4 linked regions of the Drosophila melanogaster genome follow. The gene in region 3 interacts genetically with the main gene of each other region. Each region holds a gene or a part of one and is shown on either strand. Other genes may lie near its edges.

Region 1 (5,053 bases), on a different chromosome or scaffold from region 3:
TGTCCTGGACAAAGGGACGCGCGGAGGGATGGAATGTTTGTTTGTGAATGCTTCTCTTCGGTTTCTTACTTTTGCATAACGGACAGATATAAGACTTTTTGAAGAAAAAAACCAAATATATAAGTACATTTAATGCGATTGTTGTTTGTTTTTAGTTATATACACCGCCACACTCGCACACAAAACACACACACCGATACATGCATACATATATATACTACTTAGCGGTATATGTACAAAAACGTAATCAAGCATTAGTGAAATGTTTCGACCAGTTAAAAACCACAAATTAAATTTATTACATGAAAATCAACTAATGTGTAAACGCAAAAACGGCAAAATCAATAAATAAAAAATGGATTAAACTAAGCCTAAATTTAGTTTTAAACATTTAATATATTGCAACAATAAACCGAAATGAAAATAAAACTCAAATTCAAACTTGAGATGCAAGTGTTTGTAATTGGGCTCCTGGAACTCAACATATTACATTAAATATTTTTAATTTTATCTTTATTTATTGTTACTTATCATCATGAATGTACTTTTTAAATATTTACTGTAAAATTGCATTTTACATAAATATTTTACATTGCGTAGAATGTCTAGTGCTTCAGTGAAAACTAGCGCCCGCTGCTTTACGTTCTTAACCACAGTTCCACGCGTGCGCAGCGCCAAAAGACAAACAACGTGAATTGGTGAGTGCGGGATCCAAGTGGGGGGAGCTCGGAGGAAAGGAAGCTGGGGGGAGTCACCCTTTACCATGGCGGAAAGCACACAAGCACCGTCCGTCGGTTCGTCCGCCGATCCACACGACACAGCGCTGATTGCCGCGCCGCCTGGCGAGGTGAGGTTGTAGGAGCCCGACTGAGGTTAACCGAAAGCCAGGCCGAGAGAACGGAACAGAGAGCGGCGGAGGCTGCGGCGGCACGGCAGCTACTTGGCGTTTTCGATTGTGGTACATGCACAACTATTTTACGTATGTATGCCACACGGAGAAAAAAATCCTTCATTTCACAGTGCTAACAATTCGAGTTGATTTATTTGATTTTATGTTAAATATATGCAATATTCGTAAATTTTTTTAATATTTAATCATACAAAGTGCTTTAGTGATTTAGCTTGTGTATAGGAAACCTATCAACAGTATTTTATATAAGAATTAAGAGTTGAACTATATTAATTATCTGAACTGCTTAACCGCGGAATAGTTTTCAGAAAGTGCATCTTTGTATCCAGTAATTTTTTGCAGGGACTTCTCTTGGCATGCGGTGATCTCGGTCTTTCTCTCCACCTCTCTCCCGCTGTTGTGTGTGTTTGTTTCTCTACCTGATGCCCGATTGCACTACCACTTTCACGCGGTTTACAAGCCGAATGACAACAACAAAAACAGAACAACAAGGCGGCGAGTTCGAAAGCGAAGTAGAGTGAACCGAGCAGCGAATTCGAATTTTCGACGATGAATGCAATGCCGCAGCACAGAAATAAACGCAAAGTCCGGGAGATACGAAATGCAGGAGCGGTTTGCCCGTGTCGAGGGTGGCTGTGGCTCTCTTTCTTGCCCTCTCTCTTTCTCTCTCTTTTGATCTGCCATCTCCCTTCGCCGCAAGTGCATGCTGAAGTGGAAGGTTCGTTGCCTAAGTCTTTTGTACCTGCCTGCGTTTCGGCCTCTGCAGGTGCACCCACACACACACACACAGATGGAAGCACTGGGCTACCTGTGTTTTAGATCGCACTTGTATGGGTGTTTGGGAGTGTAGAGACAACATCATCGATTCGAATGAATTTGAGTGGCGCTGCGCTGCCGGCGTCGCTGCCGCGTTCGCTCAATATCAGTTACGAAAGAGATGAAACCATAAAAAGCAATAATAATCGAGCGCTCTCTAACCAGCGCCGCGAACACAGACATCACCTTGCCACCAATACAACTGCACGACGACGTCGGCAGAGGTGGCAGCAGCGGCGGCAGCAGCACATTCAACAGTTGAACAATCTCCAATTGACTCTTTGGGCATTATAGCCAAGAGCCGAGATCCAGCGACAGCGACGACAAGTTTTCCGCGCACACGGAAAGTCAGCAAGTTAATACACCGAAAATATATAGTTTCAAATCCGACTAATCGTTTCAAATCGAAATTACCTGTGAGTGCGCGTGTGTGTCGCGATATTTGCGAAAAATCCAAAAGTTTCTACGCCAAACAAACAGCAAAAAGTCGCGCTTAAACTTTTTCGAAATTAAATAAAACACACACACGAATTTCAGCCACGAAGAGGAAGAGAAGGCTGAAAAAGCGAAAAAAAACCTCGTGTGTGTGTGCGTGTGTGTTGAGTGCGAGAGTATCTGTGTGTGTGTACGTGTGCATGTCTCTCGGAGAGCGTGAGCTTAAAGTGTGCCTGTGTGTGTGCGCTTGCGAGCTGGAATGAGACGCCATCAAAGCTGAGCAGCGAATAATAAAATGCAAAATAAAAATAGTGATTAATAACAGCAGCCAGAACCAGCAGCAATAACAAATGCTAGTGCGGAAAGCGCGTAAAAAATAGTGAAAATACTCATAGAAAAATAGAAAAAACAACAACAAATTGGCTTGAAAACGCAAATGCCAGGCGCAACGCCCCCGAACCGACCCGCCCCCTCAACTTTTGCGCCCTCCAGTAGCAATAGCAGCAATATGAGCAGCAGCAACATCAAATGTTAGGCCAAAATGCACAAACCGCCAGCAACAAAGGCAGCACCAAGCGAACGAAACAACAACAGCTCCACATACCACAAAGAGTGGCACATTAGAAGCGGCCAAAAGCAGCCAGCCGAGAGCATTGTGTAAGCCAAAGGCCCAGAGAGCCAGGCTAAAAGCCCCCAGACGCACAACAACAACAACAACAACTAAAACAGCACAAAGAGTGGCGAAAGGTGCACCCACCAGCAAAACAGCAACAACGGAGCAACCAACAACAGCAGCAGCAGCAGCAGCAGCCACATTTCAGTTACAGCTCCAGACTCCCAGGTTGCAGACTCCCAAAGCAAACAGACTCCAGTCCACGATCCAGCTCCAGTTCCACCGATCCGATCCACTGCTCCAGCGTGCTCGAGTGCCATAGATCCTCACCAAGTGCCAAAATCCGCATCCTGATCCCAAGAGCTCAAGGCACCCCGGCCCAAAAGTGAGTAGTACTTAGCCTACCAAGAAGTAATTATAAACGCATCAGGCTATGTAGCCCTGGTCGGTTCATGGAGGGATTACACCGTCAGAAATATAGCACCCTATTGACCATTTGGTTTTCGGCTTATAGATCCCTTTTTTCGGGAGATTCCATCACAATAGCTGGTATTCCCAATAAAGAGAGCAATAAAAGCGGGCATTTTTTGGGCACTACTAGGGTGTAGAAACTTTTCAAAAATAAATATTTTTCAAAACTTGATATTTTTAAAAAACATATGGTATTACCAAACTATAAGATATATTTTAGCTAGATTTATACATAGTACGTCAAGTTGATTCGATGGAGTTAATAGAAAAATGGTAATTGGATATTATTTCGATATTATTTGACAACGACAATCTCATAGAAATATTTTTAAACAATTTTGCTGGAGATGTAGGCATAAAATCCATTTAGTTCGTGCGGTTTTAAATTAAAATGCATTCTGCATGTTTTTTTAATAAGTTTTATTATATCTATACGGCTAGGCATTTTAAATGATTTCAAATGTATTGAAACTAAACGATTTCATTACCCTGCTGGCCAGTGTTGCTTTTGAAAGCCTTCGTTCACAGTGGACACCCTGTATGTTGTGCAGACGTAGCCTAAGTCTCTTGGTCCCAGCCTCAACTCGTGTTGTTGTTGTTGTTGTTGTCATTGTTGCTGTTGCTGTTGCCGTTGTGTTGTTGGTGGTATCTTTCGCGCACACATTCCTCTTTGTTTGGTTTTATTTTGTATTTCGTATTTCGAAGTGGCCGCTGCGCAGCGGCAGCGGCAGGTAAGTCGCACAGGTATTGGTATTGCTGTCATATTGCCGTTGTGCTCCCAACAATACCTTGCTAGAGCGGGAGAGTTGGCCATAAAGAGCGGTAGCGAGAAGGGATCAAGACGCCTCTGTCTCGGTCTCGGCCTCTGCCTCTGCGTCGACGTCTACTGCGCAGCCTTCTTGTTCGAAAATCGATGATGTTGCCCAGTGTTTGTGATTACGTTTTCCCCTGGACTTTTGTGCTGCCTTTTGCCTCTTATGTTCTCAGCTTCTTTTTATTATGATTTTTATTTTCTTTCTTTTTTTTTTTTTTTTGATTTTTTCCCTTCTTGATGATGGTGATCAATTTGGGGCTGCGATTATGGTACAGTAAAATGAACATCTACGCAGCACTCACACCGCCAGACACACAGATACATTCAGCCGTGAGATACACACGCACACAGCGAAACAGGCACATGTAACCCACACACAAAAAAAAGGGGGAACTTCGTGAGAGAGTTATTTTATTTTCGTGTTCGTGTTAACGTTTATTGTTTTTCTTTTCTTTAGCCTTTCTTCGTTTCTTCGGGACTTCTTGACTCCGTCTTGCAGCCGTTCCCGTTCCCCTTCGCGCTCGCCACCCCTGCCCCATCCATGCACGCCTTTATTTCCCTGAACATTCCCAAATACACGGAGAGAAAAGGGGATGCATTGATGGTGATATTATGAGGATTTATTTATGCATATAATTATTCTTAAAGAGGCTAAGAAGTCAAAAGCTAAAATAAAATCGTTTCAATGAGTTTCTATATCATCAGATTAATAATATAACTCAAAGTTTTGAATCGACATGGCATTTCTTGCCGTGTACCATCTACCAACTCTCCAGTCTCAGTCATTGGTTATTGATGCCCAACAACTCTGACCGTTGATGTCTTAGGGTTACGCTGCGCATTTCTTCTCTTGTCTTTTCTCCACCTCTCCCATCTACCCCTCTCCATCCCCCCCCTACATTCACGCGAAGTAAGGTAAAGATACGTAAAATCCAAATTTCAAATTATGTCAAATCTTAATGGGATTTGAAATGGAATTGCTTTCGGTATTCAC
Region 2 (5,182 bases), on a different chromosome or scaffold from region 3:
TAAATCCATAATGCCGTTTAACCTAACTTATCAACAGATCCACGCGATGAAAAACAAGCAAATAAATGCCAGAAAAAGCCAAAAAGAAAGTAAAGTTTATGGGTGAACCTTTGCAATTTTCGGTGGGTTTCCAAGGACTGATTACTAAATTCAAAGCGTGTGGTGTGATGTACACTATGGGGTGAACAGCGATAAAAAGCCAATAAGCCAAGAAACCAAAAGGCAAAATAGCTAAGAAATCGAATCCCTTAAAATAGTTCATGGGCAATGTAAAGATCCTCATAGTGATGTTTTCCCTCGGAAAGTTTTCCTGGTCGACAGCACAAATCCGGGTCTGATCTATATTTAGACGAACTCAGAGGCTCGTCCACTGATAACCCGCCCGGCTCCCTCCTCCCCATTGCCTTCTTCTCAACCAATCGCATTATTGATTATGCATATATTTAGCGAATCGATCGTCTATTGACGTAAATTCCAAATAAGCCCGAATCATCGAAATGCGCCAAGTGGCGGTTAGGTGAGAACAGGAGCGAAGCAGTTAGAGTCTGAGTCCAAGTCCAAGTCTGGGTCCAGCAATTAATGCCGATGATGAAGATTATCAGGCCCAACTAGAAAAACAAGTCCATAGTTATAAATAAACCAATCGAAAATCACGGCAACGCGTGTAGACGAATTCGATTTAATTCGCAACTGGACTTTTCGTAAAGGGAGTCAAAAATGGGGACGGGGACTGTAAGAGGGGGGAGCCAAGGACCAAGGACAACCATCTGATCAGGTTTCTCCAAGGACGTTGGACGCCAGTCTCTTCTGGGTCTAGGCTAAGTGAGCGGCTTATTATAATTATTTAAAACAATTTTAATAAAAATTATATTTGGCCTATTTGTTATGAAGTTGAATTAAGCTTGAAGTTTTAAATTAGAGTTGGCAAGCGTTTTAATTTAACATTATAAATAACACTGCTACCAAATAAATGTTTACGCAACCAATGAAAAACAGAGCCATATTTACGTGCAACTTTCCCGACTGCTTCTGTTGAACTTTTTCTTCGAGTACCCAGAGGATTCTGGGTCTTCTGGTAAACTGGATTCGGGGTACAAAGTCACACCACCGGCAGCACCTTCATTTCTCCTTCCCCAAAGACAAAAACAAGAGTGGCCACATGACAACCATCCGGGCCATGCTATTCTTGGTGCGCCCCCAGAGTCACATGAATGTGAATACTGGCCTCCAAGGCGGCCATGGCCAATTGGGGAGGCCCCCGGCTCATCTGGATGCCGCGAGGGGGGCGGATTAGCATACAAATTTTCCGTCACCGATTCTACAAATAAGCGAAAGTTTTTTTCGATTTGGCAAATGTCCAAAAACGAGAGGCCAACACATGTGGTCAAACAGGCGTAAGTGGGCGGGCGCGTGTGATGTGGCCCACCATTCGATGTTGCACCAATGTAGCTATATTTGTGGCCAATGCAGCTATAGACACATCCAGAATTTACCCAGCTGCAGGGGACAACAACTGCTGTTGCCTCAGCTGTCCGTGAACTGGTTTCTATATTCGCAGCGGCCACATTTGTATCGCATAAAATCATAAATAGAATAATTAAATTAACAGCGCGAAAGTGGCAAATATCAGGGTGTTCAAAATAACAACAAACGCTTATCAATGCAAACGCACTAGAAAACGCTCTCAGCGCCACATGAAAACAACACTCTGCTGTTGCCATGTGGGGACATACCCCATATACGTATCTGTATGCCCATGCCCCCCATTCCGTAGACCCCCCCCCCCCACCCACAACCAACTCATCGTAGCTGCGCCGCCTGTGAAAAACCAAAACAATCGCCGAGCCTCCGCCGGCAGCCAATCAGCTCGTCCGGAGTTTGACCCTCTCACTCGGCGAGGCGATCGTAAAACCCGATTTGCGTGGCGATCGGCCGACTTGTTCTAGTCGCCTCGATGGCCAGGCGTCGCCGGCTGGGTATAAAAGGCCCCGGATCGGAGCAGTTGGCATCAGTTACTCGTGGCCAGAGTAAATGGAAAGATCAAGTGAAAAGCCTACTTTCAGTGGTCTGAAAATCAAGTTGATGTTTGACAAAAAACTGTGGAAGAACATATGAACGCAAAGTCCTCGACAGTAGAACACTAATTGTGATAATTACTCAAATTGTGATAAGCGAATTAAGCAAAGTGCCAAAAACCCTTTCACGCGCAGAAAAATCTAATAAAAATATTCCAAACTTTTTTTCGAGAAAAATTCATAAAAAACAACACAAACAAAATGCCTGAGCTCATTGAACAAAGCAAAATTATGTAAGTATACATTAAAGAGGTCACTCGAAACGCATTCAATGGGGGATTTTAATGGCAATTAATTTTTAATGCAGTCCATTATTTGGGGTCCCACTATCGAAGTCAGTTAATTAAATTGCAATTTTAATAACCCACTTCCCTTTTATCTCTCTCTTTCTCTTTAGCTCCGGCAATGTCTGCGGTCTGCCCCAGTTGCACAAGCTGCGCCAGGACAATTGCGGTCTGTACAGCCACATCCGTGGCATTCCCATCTCCTATGGAAATGTGGATTTGCTGACCACCGGTGTCCGTGCCTTCGTGGAGGAGGGCATCGCCCTCTGCCAGCCCGACCAGGTGCACATCTGCGATGGCAGCGAGCAGGAGAACAAGGTGCTCATCAAGAGCCTCTTGGAGGCTGGCACCATTGTGCCGCTGCCCAAGTACGACAATTGCTGGCTGGCCCGCACCAATCCGGCGGATGTGGCCCGCGTCGAGTCGCGCACTTTCATCTGCACCGAGCGGCGGGAGGAGACGATTCCCACTCCAGTGGAGGGTGTCAAGGGAACCCTGGGCAACTGGATCTCGCCCAGCGACATGGATGCTGCAGTGCAGCAGCGATTCCCCGGCTGCATGAAGGGTCGCACCATGTACGTGGTGCCCTTCAGCATGGGTCCTGTGGGCTCCCCGCTCTCTAAGATCGGAATCGAACTGACGGACTCTGCTTACGTGGTGGCCTCCATGAGGATCATGACACGCATGGGAGCCGCTGTCTTGCGCCAGCTGGCCAAGAAGGAGGAATTCGTCCGCGCCCTACACTCTGTGGGCGCCCCTGCCAACGGACAGGTGGAGCAGCCATCCTGGCCTTGTGATCCCGAACGCACCATCATCCTGCACAAGCCCGCCGAGAACCTTATTGTGTCTTACGGATCGGGCTACGGCGGCAACTCGCTGCTGGGCAAGAAGTGCTTCGCCCTGAGGATTGGCAGCACCATTGCCAAGCAGGAGGGCTGGCTGGCCGAGCACATGTTGATTCTGGGCATCACCGATCCCAAGGGCGAGAAGAAGTACATCACTGCCGCCTTTCCCTCGGCCTGTGGCAAGACCAATCTGGCCATGCTGAATCCCTCGTTGGCCAACTACAAGGTGGAATGCGTGGGCGACGACATTGCGTGGATGAAGTTTGACTCGCAGGGAGTGCTGCGTGCCATCAACCCAGAGAATGGATTCTTTGGTGTGGCTCCAGGAACCTCAATGGAGACCAATCCCATTGCCATGAACACTGTTTTCAAGAACACCATCTTCACGAACGTGGCCTCCACCTCTGATGGCGGTGTGTTCTGGGAGGGCATGGAAAGCAGTCTGGCTCCCAATGTCCAAATCACTGACTGGTTGGGCAAACCCTGGACCAAGGATTCCGGCAAGCCCGCTGCGCATCCCAACTCCCGCTTCTGCACTCCAGCCGCCCAGTGCCCGATTATCGATGAAGCCTGGGAAGATCCGGCGGGAGTGCCCATCTCCGCCATGCTCTTCGGAGGACGTCGTCCCGCCGGAGTGCCCCTAATCTATGAGGCTCGGGACTGGACCCACGGAGTCTTCATTGGAGCAGCCATGAGGAGTGAGGCCACTGCTGCGGCCGAGCACAAGGGCAAGGTGATCATGCACGATCCGTTCGCCATGAGGCCCTTCTTTGGCTACAACTTTGGCGACTACGTGGCCCACTGGCTGAGCATGGAGAAGCGTGGTCAGGTGCCAAAGATCTTCCACGTCAACTGGTTCCGCAAGAGTGCCGAGGGCAAGTTCATGTGGCCCGGATACGGAGAGAACTCCCGTGTGCTGGAATGGATCCTGCGCAGGGTCAATGGCGAATCCTGCTACGTGGACTCGGCCATTGGACACATTCCCGCCGAGGGTGCCCTAAACCTCGATGGCATGAAGGATAAGGTGGACGTGAAGGAGATCTTCTCGCTGCCCAAGGAGTTCTGGTCGCAGGAGGTCAAGGATATTCGCACCTACTTCGAGTCACAGGTGGGCGCCGATCTTCCGGCCAGCATTTACCAGCAGCTGGACGAGCTATCTTCCCGCGTAGACAACCTGTAAGAAGGATCAATGAGGAGAGTCCCATCTACAGCATCTTTACCTGCCCACACACCTGCTCACCCACTGTGCTATCCCGTACTGACCCCATCACCAACCCAATTTGTTAACCTGTCCTAAATACCTGTCCCCAATACCTTATTTAGTCGTTTCTCTAGTTCTTAAGCCGAAGACTTCCAAACTATTTATTATATAAGCAGCCATAAGATTAGCAAGTAGGCCATACAAACAGAGAAAATTAAAAAAAAAATAAAACAACACGATTTTATAACCTACATCCTATATGAGTATTTATTTATCACAAACTTGGATTTTTGAATGTTGTGAACATTCTAAACAGTATATATACAATAGTTAATATACTAATAAATGCTTTATAGCTGCATGATTTATTTATTAACGCTTCAAACAATCAGTTAAATAGATAAACAAGTTTTAATACGTTTTAGGATTTTTAAATGATTGCTAAATAAATTTCAAATGTTATAATTATAAAATGTGACACTTGTAACTAGTCTTGCTCTTGTTTCATAACTAAGACTTTTAATATTTTTCAAAATCCTAATTTATGGTGTTAATTTGCCAAGATTATAGAAATAAATTAAGTTAAATTTTTCCCACTTGCCTTATATAAGATGAAACCGCTAGATGATTTCCCAATCATCTCCTGCAACGGCTATCCACTGCATTCGCTAGCTTTCCTCGGCTCCATTTTCCAGCCCAATGGAAGGCCGCGAAAAGCTCAACAGTCGGAGCTTTTCCAGCACTTCGGATTCACAGGAATCGGGAGCCAGGAAAAAG
Region 3 (4,945 bases):
TGGCAAAACGATACCTCTCGCCGGATACTCGATAGACACGATGCAAAGCAAGTGCTGGAAAACGCCGATTGTCAAGTGGGGGGCTGAAAGTTTAAAAATGCAATAATTTGATTTTTGGACGGGAAATCTTCTATTACATTATAAATAATTGTGTTTATTTCTTAAAAAATATTTCTCTGCATAAAAGGGTTTTATAAAAACAACTATCCCTATGAACGGGAATCAGTATGTATTGTTTATAAATGAGTATTCAACATTATTTTGGTTTTTGAGCAATAAAGTTCGACGTCATTATTGTTATATCTGGTTTTTTTATGCAAAGGTCTTTAATCATTATTTTTACCTTTCCGATATTTTAAAGTAACTAAATCTGGCTATAATATATCGCCTCATTTGCAAGCCCTCATTTATTATCGATAAATATAAATTCCTTCTCACCTTCGTGAGAAAACGTAAACAATTTAAGAAAACAGAAAATGCCCTCGGAAAACAGGTGATTGCAGCATAAGTACTTGCAAAACTAATTTACGAAATGCAGCTATACTATTGCCACTCAACAGAATCAAAATCCTACCCAAGGCGGTGGTCTGCGAGGAGAGCAGCCTGCGCGGTGACATCACCTTCTCGTCGGGCTGTGTGGTTCATCCGAGTGCCACCGTTATCGCCGACGCAGGTCCCATAATAATTGGGGAGAATTGCATCATAGAGGAATATGCCACCGTAGCTCACCGCTTGGAGCCGGGCGCCGTTTGGGATGTCAACAATATCCTGAGCATTGGCACTCACAATGTCTTTGAAGTCGGCTGCCAAGTGGAAGCGGCCAAGATTGGCGATAAGAACGTCTTCGAGAGCAAGTGCTATGTGGGCCCCGGTGTCACTGTTTCCAGCGGTTGTGTGGTGGGAGCTGGAATAAAGATCCATGGTAGTCAACGCCTGCCCGAAAACACGATTGTTTATGGAGAGCAGGGCCTGCAGCGCGAGGCCATCGACAAGCAGGGATCGCAGACCCTGCAGATCGACTTCCTGCGCAAGGTCCTGCCAAACTATCATCATCTACGCAAGCCCAACTACGATCCCAAGAAGGCGCGCAGCGTGGTTTAGTTTTAAGTATTCTTTATACATATATATCTAATTTTCCACTTTCATTGCATTAAACTCGGCCATCTCCTTTTCGAACGTAACGATTGTATGATCACACAGACCCTCCAGATCCTCCAGTCCCCGTTTAAGTATATCTATGGCTCTGTCTCGACGGGATTGAATGCGGAAGTGCAGCTTCTGCTCCGTGGGATGCGGAATCGTGTAGCCACAGAAATCCACCTCCGGGTAGCGGGCTATGATCGTTTTCAGCGCATTTCCCAGCGTGTGGCCCTCGTTGGTGAACACAAAAGTACGAGATCCTTCGCCGTTTTTCTCATCACCAGCCAGCTGGGGAAAGTATTTAAGAATTAATTACTCACATTGCATATTTAATGCATTGTCTACCTCTGCCAATGCTCCCATTTTCAGTTTGTTCAAATACTCGTTCGTTTGTTTACAAAAAACGTGCAGGGCACATGCCTCGGCAATCGATGTTAGAGTCATCGAAACATATCGATTTAAGTAGCTAAGGACGGCTTATTCCAATTGGAATGCAATGTAGCTAAAAACTAGAGATGCCTATCCCATTTTGAATTTAAGTAAAACTTAGCCATATCTTCCCGAAAAAACTGTTAAATTTAAGTTGTGTATGTATAAAAGAGTATGTCTTCTGAAACATTCCTACTGTTTGCTTGTGCCAAGTGTCATACCAACATTGACTTTAATTCTTGAAAATCAAATGAGTTACTTCTAAGTAAATGCATAAATACCGTGGTAACGTCATCGATGTATCGATAGCGCGCCGATGTCTCCACCAGCTCCAGTTCTTGACGCGTTCTGACACGGACGCGGTTTTCAGACAGAGCATTGAATTGTGTGTGTTGCTTCTTAATTCGCTTTGTTCTGTGGCCAATTTTATTGGGCCAACTGCGAAATCAGTTTTGTGCGGTGTCGGCCAAAAAAAAGAAGAAAAAGTGTCGCAAACAGCCGCATTAGCATAATTGCAAGCCGCCTTCTGCATACGTGTGTGAGTGTTGGTTTGTTTGAAAGCATCAGCAGAAAAGGCGGCAAGGAAAGAAGCAGAGAGGCGAAGCGGAGCGAAGAAAACAAAAACAAAAAAACTGCAACGGCAAACATAATTATTTGCGCAATGCATTCAACGTGAAGTTGCTCCAAAAACACCGACACTCGGGAAAAACGCATACAACGACGAATCGGCAATTCATTTTACATGCTTTTTCGCCGTTTCCATCAGGAATTGACTGCAATACAGGTTTGTTTAATGCCCACCATGTGCTTATTAATAACATCGCATACATAAATAAGCGGTATTGAAAAGCTCGAGTTGTCATTTCAATTTTGTTGACGGCCACGCCCCCCATCTGGTTCCGAAAATTATGCAAATTCATGCGCCCTTTTATTTTTGTGCACGCACACAGCTGCAAACAGGCAGCTGCCTCTGCCGCCGTGCCGTCGACGCTGTTGCCCGCGAAGGCGGAAGTGATGGCTAAAAAATACCAGTTCAGAGGCTCAACTAAAGCTTTATCTTGTTCGTTACTGTGCCTCCTGTTCTGCTTTTCGTTAGTTATTGCCAATAATGTAGACTTTTATTTCCAAATTGTTAAATTTCCTAATTGGCACTTTGCATTCACGTTCGCAGTCTGCATCTTCAATTACCAATTACGAGAATAACAGTATTCGGTTTCTTAACATGTACTTTACGATTTATATGCATATAACCAAAAGGTTGAATACAATCAAATATGATCTTACGTAGTTTCCAGTAAAATTTTAAAAATATTTTTTATTTAATTTCGTTAATATGTATGGTTTTTTAATCCAATAAGATTTTTATAAATATTTTTCTCCCTAGGGTATGCAACACTTTATTGCAAAGATACCCAATAGCTCTTAGCCAATACTCACTGTATTTTGTTTCCACTGGTTGCTATGCTCTTCTCCCCTGCCCCTTGCCATTCCTCTCTCCGCTTCCTTCTCGGCATCCTGCTAACTCCTTTGCACTCATTTGTTCGGTGGTAGCTGACACACACACATGTACACACATCTGTTGTGCTTTGGTGGTGACTAATGCGGCAGCATGTTCCGTTATCTCATGCGTTCCCCCTCCTCGCGCCCACGCGCCGCAGCGCTTGTGTTGTAATAATCACTTTTCGTGTATGTATGGCAGTGCGCGCGAGTCTGTCTCACGTTTCGTTTGGCGCCATGCGTTCCCCCCAATTTGCAGTTGTTGCAATTTAGTCTAGGCTGCGTTCCTCTTCCATTTCGTTTCCCCCATTATGCTGGGCGCCCTTTTGCCTTGTTGTTTTTGTTTTTACATGGCCTGCAGTTTAAGTATGTATATATGTATGTATTGAGAGCCGGCGTTTTTGTGGCTCGTGTGTGAGTGAGAGCGAGGCAGCTGCTCTCTCCTGGCCGAAAAAAGTGGCTGCTCTCTCTCCTGGGCTAACTCTATTCTTGCTTTTATGGGTTTCTTTTGAGTTTGCAATTATTTTGGCTTTGTAGTGGTTACAACAAAGGAACTGCATATAACCGTCACGATCGTGGCAAAAAGGGAGAATACGAAAAAGAGAAGTGCGAAATGGTTCTGGGAATACGATCCAGAGGGCCCATGTAAATATGTATGTAAACACAACCTAATATATACATTCATACATACATATGTACATAGCAACAGCGATCTATGGCCTGTACATAGAGAAAATAACTTCCCTAGCATTTACTCGCGAAGCTGATTCGTAAACAATTCACCACCTCGTGTGTAATATATCTTTTCAACGTATAATAAACGAAAACTAGTAGAAAGTAATAAACGCATAGAAAAAGGATGCAGTACGGTAGACCATTTTAAAATTATATTAATTCAAAATACAAAAGTATTTTTTGTGTATAGCTGCGCACGTGAAAATAAATTATAAAAGAGGGGGAGCCCGAAATTTTAAGTCCTCCCAAGGGTGGTGTATATTCCACCTTGTGCCATGAATATTGCAAATAATCCACTTGAGGTACAAAATACCTGTCCACGATGTAGACACAGTGTGCTGACTTGACAAGGACAGGTTATAAATTGAATTTTAAAACAAAAATTCTATGTATAATGGTACTAAGGTTTTTACCGATTCTATTGGTAAATTAATAAATGCTTAACGAGTTTTTGAAAATAATTCTGTCAGTAAACATAGCAATGGTGTGTTCTTTCGATCATTTATCTATATTTATCAATGGTGCATGCAATATTTTTGTTGGGCCCACTGTGCCAGAAAGTTCCAAGGATGCTGCAGACATCGAAAGCCAAACGAAACGAAATAAAATAAAATACACAGACAGTTTTGGAGCGAAAGGAAGTGGAAGGAGTAGCTGAGGTGAAGAAGGGGCTAAAGGGGAGCCCCTTTAGCTCGAATGCAGACAAAAAAGGTGAAGTGGCAATGGCACAAGACGAAGACGAAGAGCACGAGAACAAGGAACAGACGGGAACACGGACACGACGACGTGATATTCCAACATCCTGTGCAGCGAGTCACGAAGGAGGTGGGGAGCGCCATAAAGCCGGAGAGCACAGCAAAGCAGGGGGCGGAGGAGAGCGAAAACCTGTCATCTGCTGCATTCGATGCGGGCCACGAATAGGGGGTGGGGGGAATCGAGGAGAAGAGAAGGAGACAGAGACGCAGAAGGATGAAGCTGCAAGCATTTTTAGAATTCCCAAAATCAACATAAAAACCAAGTAAAGTAACTACACAACAGGACAAATTTTTAAGCCGAAAAGTGCAATATTTGATTAATAGGTTCGAGTTTAGTACCATTACTGTTAATCAGTGCATTAATAAATTTATTTGATAATTTGTGATGT
Region 4 (4,926 bases), 8.7 Mb from region 3:
CTTCTTGACTTCATTGATTTCGTTATGAATAAATGGTATAATATAATGTTTATACCTAATAATACATGGTTAAGCTGTCGATTTATTGGTTTTTGCTGCCAGAGGTTTCAATCTGATATTAAGGATCTTTAGTTCGGGGATCCACTGCTGATTTGAGTAGATAGTTGTCAGTTGTGGGCTTAAAAACTATAAGTAATTTGTATAATTTCAGTTTTTTAAATGTCCGTCTGTCTTTCGTAGATCTATAAACGTTTGAGATTATAACTCAAAAACGGTCAAACAATTGTGACTTGCCCAAATTTTACGTTACCCGAATAGTTATCAATGATAAGTTATCAGACTGTCGCAATGGCTTACCTCATTAAGATTTGATTTGAACTCTAATTATTAATCACAGACCACCAAGGAATTTTACATTTGTGTATTTGACATGTGTATTATACACGTAGCCTTCCAAATATACATGTAAAAATACTGATCAAACTGGTAGATAAAATATGAAATCACAACAACTATAAACTCAACGGTCTATTATTTAGTTTATCAGCCATTAAGCCTTTAATCTTATAGTTCAAATCGCTAGCAACAATTAACTTGCACAAAACAAAACCATTTCAGAGCTATTTACAAAACTTTTATTGCCATGAACTTTGTTCCTAAATGCACAACTATGATGTTAGTAATTAACGTTTAAGGATCGCATTACAAGTTGGACACATTCGAGTCCAGCACGGACAGAGCCTCGTCCTTCTCCTCCTGCAGCTCCTTGCCGGTAACGCTTAACTTTGTCTTAGCGAAATCGCTGAGGGTCAGGCCAGAGACGATTTTCCATTGCTTATTCTTGATCTCGACGGGGAACGAGAAGATCACATCCTTGGGCGAATCGTAGCTGCCGTCGGAGAAGACACCCATGGAGACGAACTGGCCGGGAGCAGTGCCGTTCCACCAGTCGTGCATGTGATCGCAAGCGGCCTTCGCCGCCGACATGGCCGATGACATTTTGCGGGCCGCAATGACAGCGGCTCCACGCTTCTGAACGGTTTCCACGAAGGATCCCTGCAGGTAGCCATTATCGTTGATCGCATCCACCACGGACTTAACGGTACCATTGGCGGTCACCTTGGCCTGTCCAGCATCGGGATACTGGGTGGAGGAGTGGTTGCCCCAAATAATGATGTTCTTAACAGCAGAAATTGGCACACCCAATTTGGCGGCGATCTGGGATGTGGCGCGATTCTGATCCAGGCGAGTCATAGCCGAGAAATTTTCGCGCGGAATGGAAGGCGCATAGGAGGAGCAGACCAGGGCATTGGTATTGGCCGGGTTGCCCACAACCAGCACCTTGACGTCCTTCTTGGCGAACTTGTCCAGAGCCTGGCCCTGGGTCCTGAAGATCTTCACGTTGGCGGACAGCAGATCCTTTCGCTCCATTCCCTCCTTGCGGGGCATGGCGCCCACGAGGAAAGCGGCCGAGACATCCTTGAATCCAACAGCCGGGTCGGTGGTGGGCACCACCTCGACCAGCAGCGGCAGAGCGCAGTCGGCCAATTCCATGACCACGCCCTCGAGCACACCAACCATGGGCGGAATGTCGAGCAGGTGCAGCACGATGGGCTGATCCTTGCCGAACACCTCGCCGCGGGCAATCATGTACAGCAGGGAGTAGGCGATTTGGCCAGCGGCTCCGGTCACCACAACACGAATTGGTTCAGCCTGAAAATATATTCACTCGATTAGGAACATTCCTTTAAGTGTATTTCATCTTCCTTTTTCCATTTCTTTATGCATTTTCCGTATTTTATTTCAAGAATGTTCTTAGCTATGTTTAGATGCAGCTAAACTAATTATACTGTAATAAGGGGCGAATTTTTCATCCAGCCTTTGGCTTTGGATCTATATTTTATTTTTAGACGCTTAGCGGCGAGGAAATATATGCGAAAACTGCTAACTACACAAAATACTTCGTATATATCCAGCTCGCCATTTCCGAATTAAAACCCATTTAAGTGCAATTTCAGCAAAATTAATGCAAATATGATAGCTGAAAATAAACAAATGCGTGACCAGGTTTTTTGTTACTGTTTTGAAGTGTGTCTTTATCAGCTTGCATTTGTTGTTTACGATAGATAACGAATTTACTTTATACTTTATACTTTAGCTAGAACTCTTAAATTTCCTCTCCATTTATCTCTGAGCTGGCATTTTCAATAGTTATAGATTTAATAAAACATTTTATAAGTGATGTGCTTTGATTTTTGCTTGCTAGTGCATTTTCCGCCCATCCTCGTTACGCAATCCCAGTTAATCCTTTCCTAAGGGCACTAAAAGTAGGCCACTTGTGGCAATTGACCCCTATTTATGTTTTGCCCTAAAGAAAAGTCACAGGGCATAGTTTCCAGTAAAATGTAGCTAAAGACGGGAATTACTAAACATAACATATATTATATTTTTATATTATATATTTGTCATTGAAGAAGTTTTTAACTTCCAAACAATTGGAAGCGTAACCCCTGGGAGCATTTAGCATTTTTGATAAGATATGACAGATTTGAACTGCATGGACTTTGCTTCACCGCCTCCAATCATCCGGTTTATATAAGCTCTATCTGCTCCGGCAAGAGCTATTAAAACATGAAAACAACATTTTTATCGCCGTCAATTGGCAATTAGCTCGCATTTGCAATAAATTCATGCTTTTGGGGGCCTCTGAAAATGCAACATTTGTGCATACGTTCGAATTGACGTCACTAAGGTTTTTGGTTTTTAAGATTAGCATGAAGAGAGGTCAAATGAATGTTAAATTTCCAGAAAAATTATTGCGACCAATCACACATACCGTCATAACTACACATTATTGTGTACGGCACTTTGAATGCATATGTATGCATATTCTTCACATTTGATAATCAAATATGCAGATTATTAATAATAATTTGATGATATATACTATACGAGCGTAGCGAGAAATCGCCGGCAAGCTTACCATTTTAGAATTTCACAGGTGCAACGCTCCACGGACGAACTTCAAGTAAAAACGTAAATAGGGATCGCCAATTGGGAACCTGTTACTTTTCACAATTATTTTCCAGTCACTACTTTTTGAATAAAAGTAGCCGTGACTCCAACGCAATATGTTTTTGGCAAAATAATCGATTATGTTGCTCCTTACAAATTTACTAAATTTTTAAATAATACAAAGAGTTAAGGAGTTCTCTTATTGTTATTAATATTTACAGTTGCCAAAAAAAAGTAAATACATATATAAATAAATAAAACGATGATAAATGAAAAATTAATAGAAATATAGTTATTAAATTAGTTAATGTAAACAACAAAATTTTGCAGAAAAAGCATCAAATATCATATTTCTTTGCATTATTCTTGGTCACTTTGTTTACACATACAAAATTAGTACCTAGCTATATTTTCATATCTGAAATACGCAAATGCAGTCGTGTGAAGTGATTTTTTCGCTTGCTATTATCGATAGTTTGAGCTGTGGAAAAAAATCGAATGTTTCTTGTGGAAAAAATTGGAGTCTTTAATTTGGCGAATCCATTCGTTTACTTTGCGTTTATTTTTAGCCTTAGTACTTTCGTTTGATACGTTTGCTACCAAGTATTTATAAAAATTAAAAAGCGTTCAAAAACACAATTAACCATTGCAACGTCGTTTCATCAGCTATTCAGAGTGAATAAAGAAAACCTACATCACACCTACAATCATACGTGTTACGTGTACATACATATGTGTATGTATATATACTCTTGCTTATGTACATTAAACATTTGCCGTTTTCCTTTCCAACCAGCCTTTTGTTATTGTCTAAAAATCGATTTTCGTTACCCTTTTATACGAGTTCGTGATTTGCCATAATTAATAAACAATAAATCACAGCTGTGGTTTGGTAAATAAGTGCAGCGTGAACAATGTACGCTTATGTACATAAACACTCGCATATGTGTGCGTATATAGTGGATTAACAAATTGCTGATGTACACATATTAAGTGCTTTTACAATGCATACGCAAATATCGATGCAAATTCTAGTAATTTTGCTTAATACCCACACGTATTTGCATGTCGCCATACTCACACACATGTTCGGTTATTAAACTCTTGAAAATTGTACTTTCTTTTTGATTGTGTTTTAAAGAGAGCTTCCGTTTTAAATTTGAGAACTTATTGATGTACGCAGGTAGTGCGTATATTTCCGAGCTGGTTTGATTTTTGTTATGAAAAGGTATCCATATTTAAAAATACTTTTTGTGTTTGTTTGTCTGCGTTGTAGGCATATGCGTGTGTGTGTATATACACAATAAAATTACCTGACGGCAAACACCTTCTTCGGGTCGCATTAAATTGTCTTTTTTCAAAGGTTGCATAAAGTCAACAATACCACGAATACAATGGGCAGTATGTAAACAATTTTGCACAAATCGCAACTATCAAAAAAAGTGTTAAATATGGATATTAACTAAAGTGGTCAGCTACAGGTGCCAAATGTCCACAACTTGTTTTTCGTAGTGTGCAAAATAACGGGGTGATTCATCTAATAAAGATCGCATGCCTTCCTTTTTTTTAGGTGTTTTAGGTAGACAAAATCATATATGCATAGTTTAGAAGTACAAGACAAGGGAATATTCTTCTTATTTCAATGCAGGTTCATACCAATCTGATGAAAATCCATCCTACAAAAGCTATCCTTGAGATTTAAGAATCTACACACAAAACTTCATCCTAATCAAATATATATATATATATATATTATTTATACATATAAATTTTATTTACTTTCTACAGCTTGGTTCTCATCATTATCAACAATTTTATAAAAATTACAACTGCGAGTACTTCATCACTAATCAACAAATCACCTGAAAATGAACGGCCTGAGCAGCAATGATGATGCAGTCGAGTGCCCTT

The links.
Region 1: of brat (region 3) and grh, changing one suppresses a phenotype caused by changing the other (phenotypic suppression), as found in Drosophila melanogaster (one study listed by BioGRID).
Region 2: of brat (region 3) and Pepck1, changing one suppresses a phenotype caused by changing the other (phenotypic suppression), as found in Drosophila melanogaster (one study listed by BioGRID).
Region 4: of brat (region 3) and Mdh1, changing one suppresses a phenotype caused by changing the other (phenotypic suppression), as found in Drosophila melanogaster (one study listed by BioGRID).

The regions. Positions count from the first base shown.
Region 1 is NT_033778.4:17,800,233-17,805,285, forward strand, and holds the start of grh (grainy head), read left to right. Parts: upstream 1-2,013; 5' UTR 2,014-3,159; intron 3,160-5,053. UniProt on the Drosophila melanogaster protein: Transcription factor that binds a CNS-specific regulatory element of the Dopa decarboxylase (Ddc) gene. Also interacts with sequences adjacent to other transcription units, including Ultrabithorax (Ubx) and engrailed (en).
Region 2 is NT_033778.4:18,534,762-18,539,943, forward strand, and holds Pepck1 (phosphoenolpyruvate carboxykinase 1), read left to right. Parts: upstream 1-2,005; 5' UTR 2,006-2,031; coding exon of another isoform or gene 2,032-2,115; 5' UTR 2,116-2,276; coding exon 2,277-2,308; intron 2,309-2,472; coding exon 2,473-4,384; 3' UTR 4,385-4,655; downstream 4,656-5,182. Other genes in the region: CG45087 (uncharacterized protein), read left to right, coding at 2,032-2,115. UniProt on the Drosophila melanogaster protein: Catalyzes the conversion of oxaloacetate (OAA) to phosphoenolpyruvate (PEP), the rate-limiting step in the metabolic pathway that produces glucose from lactate and other precursors derived from the citric acid cycle.
Region 3 is NT_033779.5:19,131,924-19,136,868, forward strand, and holds the start of brat (brain tumor), read left to right. Parts: upstream 1-1,898; 5' UTR 1,899-2,353; intron 2,354-3,006; coding exon of another isoform or gene 3,007-3,057; exon of another isoform or gene 3,058-3,310; intron 3,311-4,945. Other genes in the region: DCTN6-p27 (dynactin 6, p27 subunit), read left to right, coding at 477-493, 561-1,101; Polr1D (RNA polymerase I and III subunit D), read right to left, coding at 1,129-1,428, 1,851-1,898, 3,007-3,057. UniProt on the Drosophila melanogaster protein: A NHL-domain family protein that functions as a translational repressor to inhibit cell proliferation.
Region 4 is NT_033779.5:10,393,232-10,398,157, forward strand, and holds Mdh1 (malate dehydrogenase 1), read right to left. Parts: upstream 3,102-4,926; 5' UTR 2,987-3,101; coding exon 2,984-2,986; intron 1,714-2,983; coding exon 703-1,713; 3' UTR 543-702; downstream 1-542. Other genes in the region: Cnot4 (CCR4-NOT transcription complex subunit 4), read left to right, coding at 4,884-4,926.